Linked DNA regions of Saccharomyces cerevisiae S288C. Changing the gene in region 2 together with the main gene of any one other region gives a genetic interaction. Each region holds a gene or a part of one and is shown on either strand. Other genes may lie near its edges.

Evidence for each region.
Region 1: mutations in OXP1 (region 2) and ERR1 together harm fitness more than expected from each alone (negative genetic interaction), as found in Saccharomyces cerevisiae (2 studies listed by BioGRID).
Region 3: of OXP1 (region 2) and MET17, extra expression of one rescues a mutant of the other (dosage rescue), as found in Saccharomyces cerevisiae (one study listed by BioGRID).

The regions. Positions count from the first base shown.
Region 1 is NC_001147.6:1,078,535-1,082,089, reverse strand, and holds ERR1 (phosphopyruvate hydratase ERR1), read right to left. Parts: upstream 1,815-3,555; coding exon 501-1,814; downstream 1-500. Other genes in the region: HSP33 (glutathione-independent methylglyoxalase family protein), read left to right, coding at 2,832-3,545.
Region 2 is NC_001143.9:26,313-32,673, reverse strand, and holds OXP1 (5-oxoprolinase), read left to right. Parts: upstream 1-1,986; coding exon 1,987-5,847; downstream 5,848-6,361. Other genes in the region: DOA1 (Doa1p), read left to right, coding at 1-714; YRA2 (Yra2p), read left to right, coding at 981-1,592. UniProt on the Saccharomyces cerevisiae protein: Catalyzes the cleavage of 5-oxo-L-proline to form L-glutamate coupled to the hydrolysis of ATP to ADP and inorganic phosphate.
Region 3 is NC_001144.5:730,805-734,376, forward strand, and holds MET17 (bifunctional cysteine synthase/O-acetylhomoserine aminocarboxypropyltransferase MET17), read left to right. Parts: upstream 1-1,737; coding exon 1,738-3,072; downstream 3,073-3,572. Other genes in the region: HRI1 (Hri1p), read left to right, coding at 21-755; YLR302C (uncharacterized protein), read right to left, coding at 1,387-1,749. UniProt on the Saccharomyces cerevisiae protein: Catalyzes the conversion of O-acetyl-L-homoserine (OAH) into homocysteine in the methionine biosynthesis pathway. Required to efficiently reduce toxic levels of hydrogen sulfide generated when the sulfate assimilation pathway (SAP) is active.

The DNA.
Region 1 (3,555 bases), on a different chromosome or scaffold from region 2:
TCGATACACTTTCATTATTTAACTTCTCTATTATGGTGTAACTTCTTACTTTTGTCAGAAAAAAAGATTTCAAGACACAACAAGAATGGGGTCAAAGGTCTGCTTGTACTATCAGGAAGATTTGATACCAACCGCGTTATAAGGGTTACTAGAAAGTAATAGCTGCTAAAAAATTTAAACCGAAGAGATTAATCAGAAAGCTGAAAAACTGCAGTGTTAGTAGAGTTGTAAGCATTTCTTGATTGGAACAGCCTTCCCCCACACGTCCACCCTTGTTCAGACAGATTCGTAATGATTTTGTGTGTAGGCAATGGAAAACTTTAAAAACGGTTTGATTTCCTACAAGATAAAACATATGAATAAAATAACTTGTGTCAAATGCCCCATTTCCATACTGTAACCCAAATCAACGAAATAAAAAATAAAACCTCATATGATTTACTTTATTTAGTCATAAAAAAACAAAAAAAAAAAAAAAAAAAAGGAAACAAGACAATCCTTTATAGTTTGTTTCCATCATGAAACCTATGACCAGCATATATACAATCGTCCCCCAGTTCCTCTTCGATACGCAAAAGTTCATTATACTTGGCCAGTCTTTCTGATCTCGACAAAGCGCCCGATTTAATTTGACCACATCTTAAACCAACGACCAAATCAGCGATAAACGGATCTTCGGTTTCACCTGATCTATGCGATATCATTACACCCCATCCAGCATCGAAAGCCTGATTGGCGGCTTCAATAGACTCAGTCAGAGTACCGATCTGGTTGAGTTTCAGCAACAGAGTATTCGCACATTTCTCCTCTATAGCACGGGCGATCCTGGTCTTGTTGGTGCATGTCAGGTCATCTGCAATAATCTGAACATTGACAGTCTTTAGGAAGGCAGACCACGAGGACCAATCATCTTCGGCGTAGGGATCTTCCAGGGAAATGATTGGGTATTTCTTTAGCAATGAATGGTAATATTCTGCTAACTGGGCTGGACTGAGCCAGTGAGATGGGTCAGAGTTCGGTTCCTTGAAATTTAGGTCGTATTTCCCGTCCTTATAAAAAACAGAAGGAGCACTATCGATTCCTACTTTCACTCTACCCTCGTAACCGCATATGTTAATGGCTTCCACAATCATGTCCAAGGCGTCTTCGGCAGTGTCAATATCGGGGGCAACTCCACCCTCGTCACCAACATTTCCAGCGGAAGGTCCATATTGCTCCTTCGCCAATATCTTCAAATGATGGTAAACTTCCGAACCCATCCTCATGGCTTCTGCAAAGCTCTGAGCCCCGACTGGCGCGATCTTGAATTCTTGCATAGCTAAAGAGCCACCGGCGTGGGCTCCACCATTCAAAACATTGAAAAAAGGAACAGGAATAACAAAGGGGTCCTGTCTAGCATCCGCTAACTCGGCTATATACTTGTAGAGAGTAATTCCCTTTTGTGCGGCAGCAGCTCGAGCAACGCACAAGGAAACACCAAGGATAGCATTGGCGCCCAACCTTGACTTGTTAGAAGTTCCGTCTAACGATATCATGAGCTCGTCTATGCCCTTCTGATTGGTTACACATAATTCGGACTTGATTAAAGCAGGCCCTATGATACTATTGACGTTACTGACTGCCTTGGTCACCCCTTTTCCCATCCATTCGGACTTGTTCCCGTCTCTAAGTTCAACAGCTTCGTGAATGCCGGTGGAGGCACCAGATGGGACGATCGCTCTGAAGAGACCATTCTCTGTTGTAATTTCAACCTCAACAGTCGGATTGCCGCGAGAATCATACACCGTTCTAGCATGTACCTTCGTGATGGACATATTTTTATCGTTGAGATTCGATTTTTTCCTCACCTTGTTTTGGTATTTCTATTGCAAGACAAAGTGAAAGAAGAAGAAGTGGTGGTAAAAAATAACTATATATAATGAAAATTGTAACCTGGTGGGAGTGCAAACTGTAAGTGATAACCTGCCAGATCCATGTTTCTATTATATACCTAAGAACCAGCCAAGTTAGGTAAACGAGGAGTCTTTCAATATCTCTTTTCTAGTGAGAATGTTATTTAGGTAAATGAACAAGTTACCACTATACTACTCACCCCCTACACTTTGTTTGTGACCTCTCCCCTTATCCAGTTCATCGAAACTTTTTTTTCAACTTGTGGCGATCTGTGACATTGTCTACTACAAGAACCGATTTTGGTTGATGTCTGTAAAAAAAACAACCTTACCTTTCCAGATCCAACTTTCCAGGAGAGCTGCGTGAGTTTCAAATATTTACCATGTCGGAGAAAGCTCCCAAGTACTTCCTTGTTCTTGTCATTTTTTCCTTATCTCCATCCTTTAAGGAAGGTATTTCCATTATGCGATTCTATAAATCCGAGCATGCGAGTATTTCTTTTCTTGGCGCGGAGTCGCTGATGACGCAATAGGCACATTCACGAACATCCAGGACTGGTAATCTTCTCGTCTTAAAGAAAATCCAACCACCAGTAAGAAACTCTTGGGTAAAATGGGGTATCTGAAATATTGCATAGCTGCAAATGAAGATATTCAGTATCAGCATAGGTATTTTTATGGAGGATAGGTAAAGAGAAAGAAAAAAAAAAATATCTTTCTGACTGTCGTTCTTGCAATTATCACAATTAGGGGACTTTAAAACCGATACTTGATATATGAGCACAGTCAAGGGGTCGGTTCTTGAGATTTTAATGGAAAACAGGAAAGTTGCACATACAGGTCTGCTTTTCTTTGCTTGCTCCAGACAACGATACTTAGAACTAAAACATATTTCTAGAACACTTTTCTCCTTCATTCAAAAAGAAAACTGGCCTTGCAATGACTCCAAAAAGAGCGCTAATATCTCTTACTTCATACCACGGTCCCTTCTACAAAGATGGTGCGAAAACAGGCGTTTTTGTAGTTGAGATTTTGCGATCGTTCGATACATTCGAAAAGCATGGTTTCGAAGTGGACTTCGTTTCTGAGACTGGTGGATTTGGCTGGGATGAACATTACTTGCCAAAGAGCTTTATTGGTGGCGAAGATAAGATGAACTTTGAAACGAAAAATTCCGCCTTCAATAAGGCGTTAGCGAGGATCAAGACCGCAAATGAAGTCAACGCCAGCGACTATAAAGTATTCTTTGCATCTGCTGGACATGGTGCTCTATTTGACTATCCCAAAGCTAAAAATCTGCAAGATATTGCATCCAAGATATATGCCAATGGGGGTGTGATCGCTGCCATCTGTCATGGACCGCTCCTTTTCGATGGATTAATAGATATCAAAACAACAAGACCATTAATCGAAGGCAAAGCTATAACAGGTTTCCCACTCGAGGGTGAAATCGCCCTGGGAGTTGACGACATCTTGAGGAGCAGAAAATTGACAACGGTTGAACGCGTTGCAAACAAGAATGGAGCCAAGTACTTGGCGCCAATCCATCCCTGGGATGACTACTCTATTACAGATGGAAAGCTAGTTACGGGTGTTAACGCAAATTCTTCCTATTCGACCACAATTAGAGCTATAAACGCATTATATAGCTGAAACAAAAGAC
Region 2 (6,361 bases):
AACCCAGATACTATTTTCAATGGAATAGTAAAAATAAATTCAAATGAGAAGACCTTTGATGATGAAATTCTGGCGCAAATTGGTGGCGCACTACATGACATAGATGAAAGCTGGGAGTTGCTACTTTCATTTGCTAACACTATAAGATCTAACTGGGAAATTAAGACTCCTGCATACGACATAGTACGATTGATTGTAAAAAAATTACCTTATTCTTCAGATATAAAAGATTACATCGAAGAAGGCTTGGGCAATAAGAATATCACTCTAACCATGTTAACTGTGCGTATTTTGGTAAATTGCTTCAATAATGAAAACTGGGGTGTGAAATTACTGGAATCAAATCAAGTTTATAAATCAATTTTTGAGACTATAGATACTGAATTTTCTCAGGCATCTGCTAAACAGTCACAGAATTTGGCTATTGCAGTTTCCACACTAATTTTCAACTATTCAGCTCTCGTCACGAAAGGGAACTCTGATTTAGAACTTTTGCCTATCGTAGCTGACGCCATCAACACCAAGTATGGGCCATTGGAAGAGTATCAAGAATGCGAAGAAGCCGCATATAGGCTAACCGTAGCTTACGGAAATTTGGCTACTGTTGAACCTACATTAAGACAATTTGCCAACTCCGTAACTTGGCTTGCAAACATCAAAAGGAGCTATGGGAACGTGCCAAGGTTTAAGGATATTTTCGACGATCTCTCCTAATACTTTTACAGCAATCATATAAAACACATAATGTCTAGATAGCAAATAATCTTTAAAATTCTTTCTGCCCTATTGAAAATTATGACAAACTATCACGGTCATTTTCTGTCTAACTCGGCAAGAAATTATCATCGTGAAATGAAAAAGGTTACATACAATAAGGTTATTTTGAGTACAGACTGATAAATAGATGGAAAAGACTAAAAAACTGAAACGATAAGCGTCTAGTACCTTTTCCATTAGACGATTCAATACTGCATTTTGCAATGGACAAAGCATTTGACGAAATTATTGGAAATAGTCACACAGACAGCTCATCTAATCATAAGGTAACGAGATACCGCAGAAGGGATTTAAGAAATGAATTAGGACCTAGACTGGGATTTGCGCCTTCGGATGCTGCATCAAGGTCGAAAGATCGCCTTTATAGAGAGAGGGAAGAGCCTCCTTTGCCTAAGAGAATTAGAATATCCAAAATCCCACTAGACGTTTCTGACTACACCCTCGATGATATGATTAAAGAGTTTGGCTCGCCAATATTTTCGAAAATTTTTGACAATAAAGAGGATCGTACATGTATTTACGAATTTGAAGACCCAGAAGTTTTGGAAAAGATTGTCGAGCGTTATAATGGACATGAGTTACATAATGCAAAAATTGAAGTGGAGATTTACCAACCACAGAGAAAGCATTCTAGAATGAATGCCCACAACCGTCGCAAACAGACGGCTCAAGAACACGGAAGAGGCAGGCCAGGGAGCCATTATCGCCAAAAGCCTAACAGAGTCTCCAAAAAGAACAAGGGCCGTGAGAAGAATAACACTCCTACTTCTGTCGAAGCTCTTGACGCTGAATTAGATGCTTACATGAAAGGTTAAGCAATTGTGTATCTACTTATAATTTCTTTATAGTCTTTTCAATGTTTTTTTACTCCATCAGTCTACAGATATGAAACCTCAGTACTACTTTTTACCTAAATAATTAATTTTTATTTCTAGAGGGTAGCAATGATAAACACTTTACCAATCTCTGGAATTAAGAACAAGCGTACTCCGCTCTATTCAGTATTATTTGCATGAATACTTCAACAATTGTTTTGTTTGCCTCAGGTGCTTTTCCGATTGAGCACGATCGCCATAACATTACCACTGAAAAGAAAGATAAGATCAAATGTTACGTGGTGTTGAAGAAAGAATGCCAAAAACTAAGAACTGAACTTAAACAGTAATAATTTTGAGCATTGAAAACCTAAATATAACTTCTTGGTATACAATGCAGAAAGGAAACATAAGAATTGCCATCGATAAGGGTGGAACTTTCACTGATTGTGTGGGGAATATTGGTACAGGTAAACAAGAACATGATACTGTCATCAAGCTCTTGTCGGTGGATCCCAAAAACTATCCAGATGCTCCCCTTGAAGGCATAAGACGTCTCTTGGAGGTGCTTGAACACAAGACAATTCCTCGCGGTATTCCTCTAGACATCTCTAATGTGAGAAGTTTAAGAATGGGGACAACCCTAGCTACAAACTGCGCTCTAGAAAGAAATGGTGAACGTTGTGCCTTCATTACTACGAAAGGCTTTAAGGATTCATTGCTGATTGGAGACCAAACCAGGCCAGATATCTTCAACTTAAATATAAAAAAGGTAGTGCCATTATATGACACTGTAGTTGAAATAGATGAGAGAGTTACTTTAGAAGATTTCTCGGAAGACCCTTATTTTACCAAATCGTCTCCTAATGAACAAGAAGGTATCCTGGAAGGTAATAGTGGCGAAATGGTAAGGGTCATAAAGAAGCCAGATGAATCAAGCGTAAGATCTATTCTGAAAGTGCTTTATGCTAGCGGAATCAAGTCTATTGCGATAGCATTTTTACACTCATACACTTTTCCAGACCATGAGCGAATTGTTGGTAATATTGCCAGGGAGATTGGGTTTTCTCATGTTTCATTATCATCTGAAGTCTCTCCAATGATAAAATTTTTACCGAGGGCTCACAGTTCTGTCGCAGATGCCTACCTTACTCCGGTAATTAAAAAGTACTTGAATAGCATTTCTGCAGGTTTGAGCCACGCAGAAGATACCCACATTCAATTCATGCAGTCTGATGGTGGTTTAGTGGATGGGGGAAAATTTTCCGGTTTGAAATCTATTTTATCTGGTCCTGCAGGTGGCGTAATAGGTTATTCTAGTACATGCTATGATAAAAATAATAACATACCCTTAATAGGCTTTGACATGGGAGGAACATCTACTGATGTCAGTAGGTACGGCGATGGGAGGTTAGAACATGTTTTTGAAACTGTTACCGCAGGGATCATCATACAATCTCCTCAACTTGACATCCATACTGTTGCTGCTGGAGGAAGTTCTATTTTGTCATGGAAAAACGGGTTATTCAGAGTAGGCCCTGATTCAGCAGCTGCTGATCCAGGCCCTGCAGCCTACAGAAAGGGCGGGCCTTTGACCATTACAGACGCCAACCTCTTTTTAGGACGTTTGGTTCCTGAGTTCTTCCCCAAAATTTTTGGGCCCAATGAGGATGAATCACTTGACTTAGAAACCACTACTTTGAAATTCAGAGAATTAACAGATGTCATCAATAAGGATCTGAATTCAAATCTAACCATGGAAGAGGTTGCCTATGGATTTATCAAAGTAGCTAACGAATGCATGGCAAGACCTGTGAGGGCCATTACAGAAGCAAAAGGACATGTAGTATCTCAGCATCGGTTAGTTTCCTTTGGCGGGGCTGGCGGGCAACACGCCATAGCGGTTGCAGATTCATTGGGCATTGACACTGTTTTAATTCATAGATATTCTTCTATCTTGTCCGCTTATGGCATTTTCTTAGCAGATGTTATTGAAGAAAACCAAGAGCCTTGCTCTTTTATCTTGGGTGAGCCAGAGACCATCTTGAAAGTGAAAAAAAGATTCTTAGAACTTTCTAAAAATTCAATCAAAAACCTTTTATCTCAGTCGTTTTCTCGGGAGGACATAGTCTTGGAAAGATATTTAAATCTCAGATATGAAGGTACTGAAACCAGTTTGATGATATTACAAAAATATGATGACCAATGGAATTTTAGGGAATGGTTCTCTGAAGCTCATAAAAAAGAGTTCGGATTCTCATTCGATGACAAACGAATTATAATTGATGATATAAGGATAAGAGCAATTGGGAAATCAGGCGTTAGAAAAGAAAAAACGGTTGATGAGCAATTGATTGAAATTTCCCATTTCAAGAAAGCCGACGTGTCAAAGGATGCTAGTTTTACCCAGAAAGCATATTTTGACAACAAATGGGTCGACACTGCGGTCTTCAAAATTGATGATCTTCCTGCCGGAACAATTATCGAGGGCCCAGCCATATTGGCTGACGGTACCCAAACAAATATTATTTTACCAAACAGCCAAGCAACAATTTTAAACTCTCATATATTTATCAAGATCAACCAAAAGGCTGCGAAGACATTATCTAAAAGCGGATATGAACTTGATATAGATCCAATCTTATTGTCTATTTTCAGTCATAGGTTTATGGATATCGCCCTCCAGATGGGTACTCAATTGAGGAAAACTTCTGTTTCAACTAACGTCAAAGAGAGATTAGATTTTTCATGTGCACTATTCGACTCTAAAGGAAACTTAGTCGCTAACGCTCCTCATGTACCTGTTCACTTAGGATCAATGTCAACCTGCATATCAGCACAGGCGAAGTTATGGGAAGGCAAATTAAAGCCTGGTGATGTTTTAATCACAAACCATCCGGATATTGGTGGTACTCATTTACCAGACATAACAGTAATAACTCCTTCTTTCTCTTCAACTGGCGAATTGATATTTTATGTGGCTTCAAGAGCCCATCATGCAGATATTGGAGGTATTCTACCCGGTTCAGTGCCTCCAAATTCCAAAGAATTGTACGAAGAAGGAACCGCAATTTATTCCGAATTGGTTGTCAAAGAGGGAATTTTCCAGGAAGAATTAATTTACAAGCTTTTCGTAGAAGATCCAGGCAAATACCCAGGCTGCTCAGGTTCAAGAAGATTTAGTGATAACATAAGCGATTTAAAAGCGCAAGTCGCAGCTAACACAAAAGGGATACAGTTAATTGGGTCATTAACTAAGGAATATGATCTGGCTACAATATTGAAATACATGGCTGCAATTCAGACAAATGCATCTGAATCCATAAAAAAAATGCTTGCAAAAATGGTTGAACATTTTGGCACAACGAAGTTTTCTGGCGAAGATCGCTTAGATGATGGAAGCTTAATTAAACTACAAGTTATCATAAGACCTGAAAAAGAGGAGTATATTTTTAATTTCGATGGCACTTCTCCCCAAGTTTATGGTAATTTAAATGCACCAGAGGCTATTACTAATTCTGCGATTCTTTATTGTCTACGGTGTCTAGTAGGCGAAGATATTCCTTTAAATCAAGGTTGTTTAAAACCCTTAACAATAAAAATTCCTGCTGGTTCCCTCTTGAGCCCCCGATCCGGTGCTGCTGTTGTCGGAGGCAATGTATTAACTTCCCAAAGAGTGACAGATGTAATCTTAAAAACATTTAACGTCATGGCAGATTCTCAAGGTGACTGTAACAACTTTACATTTGGAACTGGAGGAAATTCTGGTAACAAAACCGATAAGCAGATCAAAGGCTTTGGATATTATGAAACCATATGTGGCGGCTCGGGGGCTGGTGCAGATTCATGGAGAGGAAGTGGTTGGAATGGCTCAGACGCTGTACACACGAATATGACCAATACAAGAATGACAGATACTGAGGTATTTGAAAGGAGATACCCCGTTCTGTTGAAAGAGTTCTCGATCAGAAGAGGTTCAGGAGGCAAAGGTAAATATACTGGCGGAAATGGCGTAGTAAGGGATGTTCAATTTCGGAAGGCTGTAACAGCATCTATATTATCAGAACGTCGTGTCATTGGCCCTCATGGTATAAAGGGAGGACAAGACGGTAGTAGAGGTGAGAATTTATGGGTAAGACATAGCACAGGCGCATTAATCAATGTCGGCGGTAAAAATACGATTTACGCTCAACCCGGTGATCGATTCATCATTAAAACCCCTGGTGGTGGGGGATTTGGACAATACAAGGATTAAAGCATTTCTTTTTGGTTCTTAGTCAATATCGAATTACACGGAACCATTGGTATACCGTGGATGCGCCAGCCACAAATTGACTTTTACAGAAAGTACAGTTTAATTATATAAGAACAGGCACTTAACAATGTTTCGGAACTCTGTAGATAAAACCAAATTACTCTTTCGAAAAGGCTACATTCTACATCAAAATCACCTGTGCAATATATATATATATATATATATATATATATATGCACATATTCGTTAATTTCTTCACTTTTTTCCCCAAATATTAAACAGATGGCTTCATTTCTTCAACATTATTTTCTGGTTCCTATGCCATTTTTAGCCTACTAATAATTATCGTTGAAAAATGTTTCTTGAATAAGTCTTAATGTAAGGATATATCATATGTTGAGATATAAAAATTTAAGTATAAATGAATCAAGACAATAATTTACATTGATTAAGTTATTTCAAAGTATAAGTATTTAGTATCATCATCTATTAAAGCACATTGAACCCTAATGTA
Region 3 (3,572 bases), on a different chromosome or scaffold from region 2:
AAACAAAAAATTAAGTTACAATGCCAGCATTATTAAAAAGATTATTGTTTCAAGTGGGTCCTCATCCAAACGAAAGAACATTCACCTTATCCTCTGTTTCAACTGATGGGCACTATATTTCCTTGAGACCATTTGTTAAGCCAAGCGGTGATGAGTTATCTTTTCCTTTCGAATGGGCCTTTGCCGGTACAAACGAAACAGTTAAAGCTAATGATCAAGGAAACGGTGTCGTTACTCAAGATTTCAATTTCTGGTTGGATACAAATGTGTACTTGAACGTTCCAAACACCCATCGTGGCGAAGTGAACACCACTTGGAAAAATTGGGATTCTGGTTGTGTCGAGGAAACAGGCGCTGTTTACCCATTCGGTGCCGACAAAGAAAGCGTCTCTTTCAGAGAATTGTGGCAACCAGTTGACCCATCAAGAGAAGATCTAGTCATCGTCTCACCAAACAATGAGAAGTTCTCGTCGAATGCTAGGTCAATTGTCCTCAAAGTTACTGACGAAGCTTATGATGGTTTGGTTATTGTTATTGGTAGATGGATTCAAGGGTTTTTGTCCCAAAAGAATAATAACACTATTGAAGGCTTGAACTTCATCAGATTACTTGAAAAAGATTCAGGTAAATCTGAGTTCTTATTAAGCTACGGTAAGGAAGTAAACAAAATTCCACAAAGCTACGAAAATTTGAAGAAAGGTTCCACTGTAACCAGCAATGGGTTGAACTGGGAAGTTATTGAATATCACGCTTAATAAAGGAGAATAAATCGTTTTCTACTTTCTTCTGCTGCTATAATAAGCACCTATGGGATCTATATAGTATTTTTATAACGATAGACTTTATAAAAGAAAATACCTAAGTGAAAATTTGGTGAATTTTGAGATAATTGTTGGGATTCCATTTTTAATAAGGCAATAATATTAGGTATGTAGAATATACTAGAAGTTCTCCTCGAGGATTTAGGAATCCATAAAAGGGAATCTGCAATTCTACACAATTCTATAAATATTATTATCATCGTTTTATATGTTAATATTCATTGATCCTATTACATTATCAATCCTTGCGTTTCAGCTTCCACTAATTTAGATGACTATTTCTCATCATTTGCGTCATCTTCTAACACCGTATATGATAATATACTAGTAACGTAAATACTAGTTAGTAGATGATAGTTGATTTTTATTCCAACACTAAGAAATAATTTCGCCATTTCTTGAATGTATTTAAAGATATTTAATGCTATAATAGACATTTAAATCCAATTCTTCCAACATACAATGGGAGTTTGGCCGAGTGGTTTAAGGCGTCAGATTTAGGTGGATTTAACCTCTAAAATCTCTGATATCTTCGGATGCAAGGGTTCGAATCCCTTAGCTCTCATTATTTTTTGCTTTTTCTCTTGAGGTCACATGATCGCAAAATGGCAAATGGCACGTGAAGCTGTCGATATTGGGGAACTGTGGTGGTTGGCAAATGACTAATTAAGTTAGTCAAGGCGCCATCCTCATGAAAACTGTGTAACATAATAACCGAAGTGTCGAAAAGGTGGCACCTTGTCCAATTGAACACGCTCGATGAAAAAAATAAGATATATATAAGGTTAAGTAAAGCGTCTGTTAGAAAGGAAGTTTTTCCTTTTTCTTGCTCTCTTGTCTTTTCATCTACTATTTCCTTCGTGTAATACAGGGTCGTCAGATACATAGATACAATTCTATTACCCCCATCCATACAATGCCATCTCATTTCGATACTGTTCAACTACACGCCGGCCAAGAGAACCCTGGTGACAATGCTCACAGATCCAGAGCTGTACCAATTTACGCCACCACTTCTTATGTTTTCGAAAACTCTAAGCATGGTTCGCAATTGTTTGGTCTAGAAGTTCCAGGTTACGTCTATTCCCGTTTCCAAAACCCAACCAGTAATGTTTTGGAAGAAAGAATTGCTGCTTTAGAAGGTGGTGCTGCTGCTTTGGCTGTTTCCTCCGGTCAAGCCGCTCAAACCCTTGCCATCCAAGGTTTGGCACACACTGGTGACAACATCGTTTCCACTTCTTACTTATACGGTGGTACTTATAACCAGTTCAAAATCTCGTTCAAAAGATTTGGTATCGAGGCTAGATTTGTTGAAGGTGACAATCCAGAAGAATTCGAAAAGGTCTTTGATGAAAGAACCAAGGCTGTTTATTTGGAAACCATTGGTAATCCAAAGTACAATGTTCCGGATTTTGAAAAAATTGTTGCAATTGCTCACAAACACGGTATTCCAGTTGTCGTTGACAACACATTTGGTGCCGGTGGTTACTTCTGTCAGCCAATTAAATACGGTGCTGATATTGTAACACATTCTGCTACCAAATGGATTGGTGGTCATGGTACTACTATCGGTGGTATTATTGTTGACTCTGGTAAGTTCCCATGGAAGGACTACCCAGAAAAGTTCCCTCAATTCTCTCAACCTGCCGAAGGATATCACGGTACTATCTACAATGAAGCCTACGGTAACTTGGCATACATCGTTCATGTTAGAACTGAACTATTAAGAGATTTGGGTCCATTGATGAACCCATTTGCCTCTTTCTTGCTACTACAAGGTGTTGAAACATTATCTTTGAGAGCTGAAAGACACGGTGAAAATGCATTGAAGTTAGCCAAATGGTTAGAACAATCCCCATACGTATCTTGGGTTTCATACCCTGGTTTAGCATCTCATTCTCATCATGAAAATGCTAAGAAGTATCTATCTAACGGTTTCGGTGGTGTCTTATCTTTCGGTGTAAAAGACTTACCAAATGCCGACAAGGAAACTGACCCATTCAAACTTTCTGGTGCTCAAGTTGTTGACAATTTAAAGCTTGCCTCTAACTTGGCCAATGTTGGTGATGCCAAGACCTTAGTCATTGCTCCATACTTCACTACCCACAAACAATTAAATGACAAAGAAAAGTTGGCATCTGGTGTTACCAAGGACTTAATTCGTGTCTCTGTTGGTATCGAATTTATTGATGACATTATTGCAGACTTCCAGCAATCTTTTGAAACTGTTTTCGCTGGCCAAAAACCATGAGTGTGCGTAATGAGTTGTAAAATTATGTATAAACCTACTTTCTCTCACAAGTACTATACTTTTATAAAACGAACTTTATTGAAATGAATATCCTTTTTTTCCCTTGTTACATGTCGTGACTCGTACTTTGAACCTAAATTGTTCTAACATCAAAGAACAGTGTTAATTCGCAGTCGAGAAGAAAAATATGGTGAACAAGACTCATCTACTTCATGAGACTACTTTACGCCTCCTATAAAGCTGTCACACTGGATAAATTTATTGTAGGACCAAGTTACAAAAGAGGATGATGGAGGTTTCTTTACAATAAAGAAGCACATGTGTGTTAACGTTTTTAGTATTTGCTTGTTATGTAAATCAGGAAAACTTCGCGGGATTTGGTTGGATGCTACTTTCCATACAATAAATATTATAGATCTAAAAAGCCAAATTACAAGTAAAGATTAGTAAAGCTGTTGGAATTCCATCGTTGATAAAAATGTTAGTTATTAAATATAAAA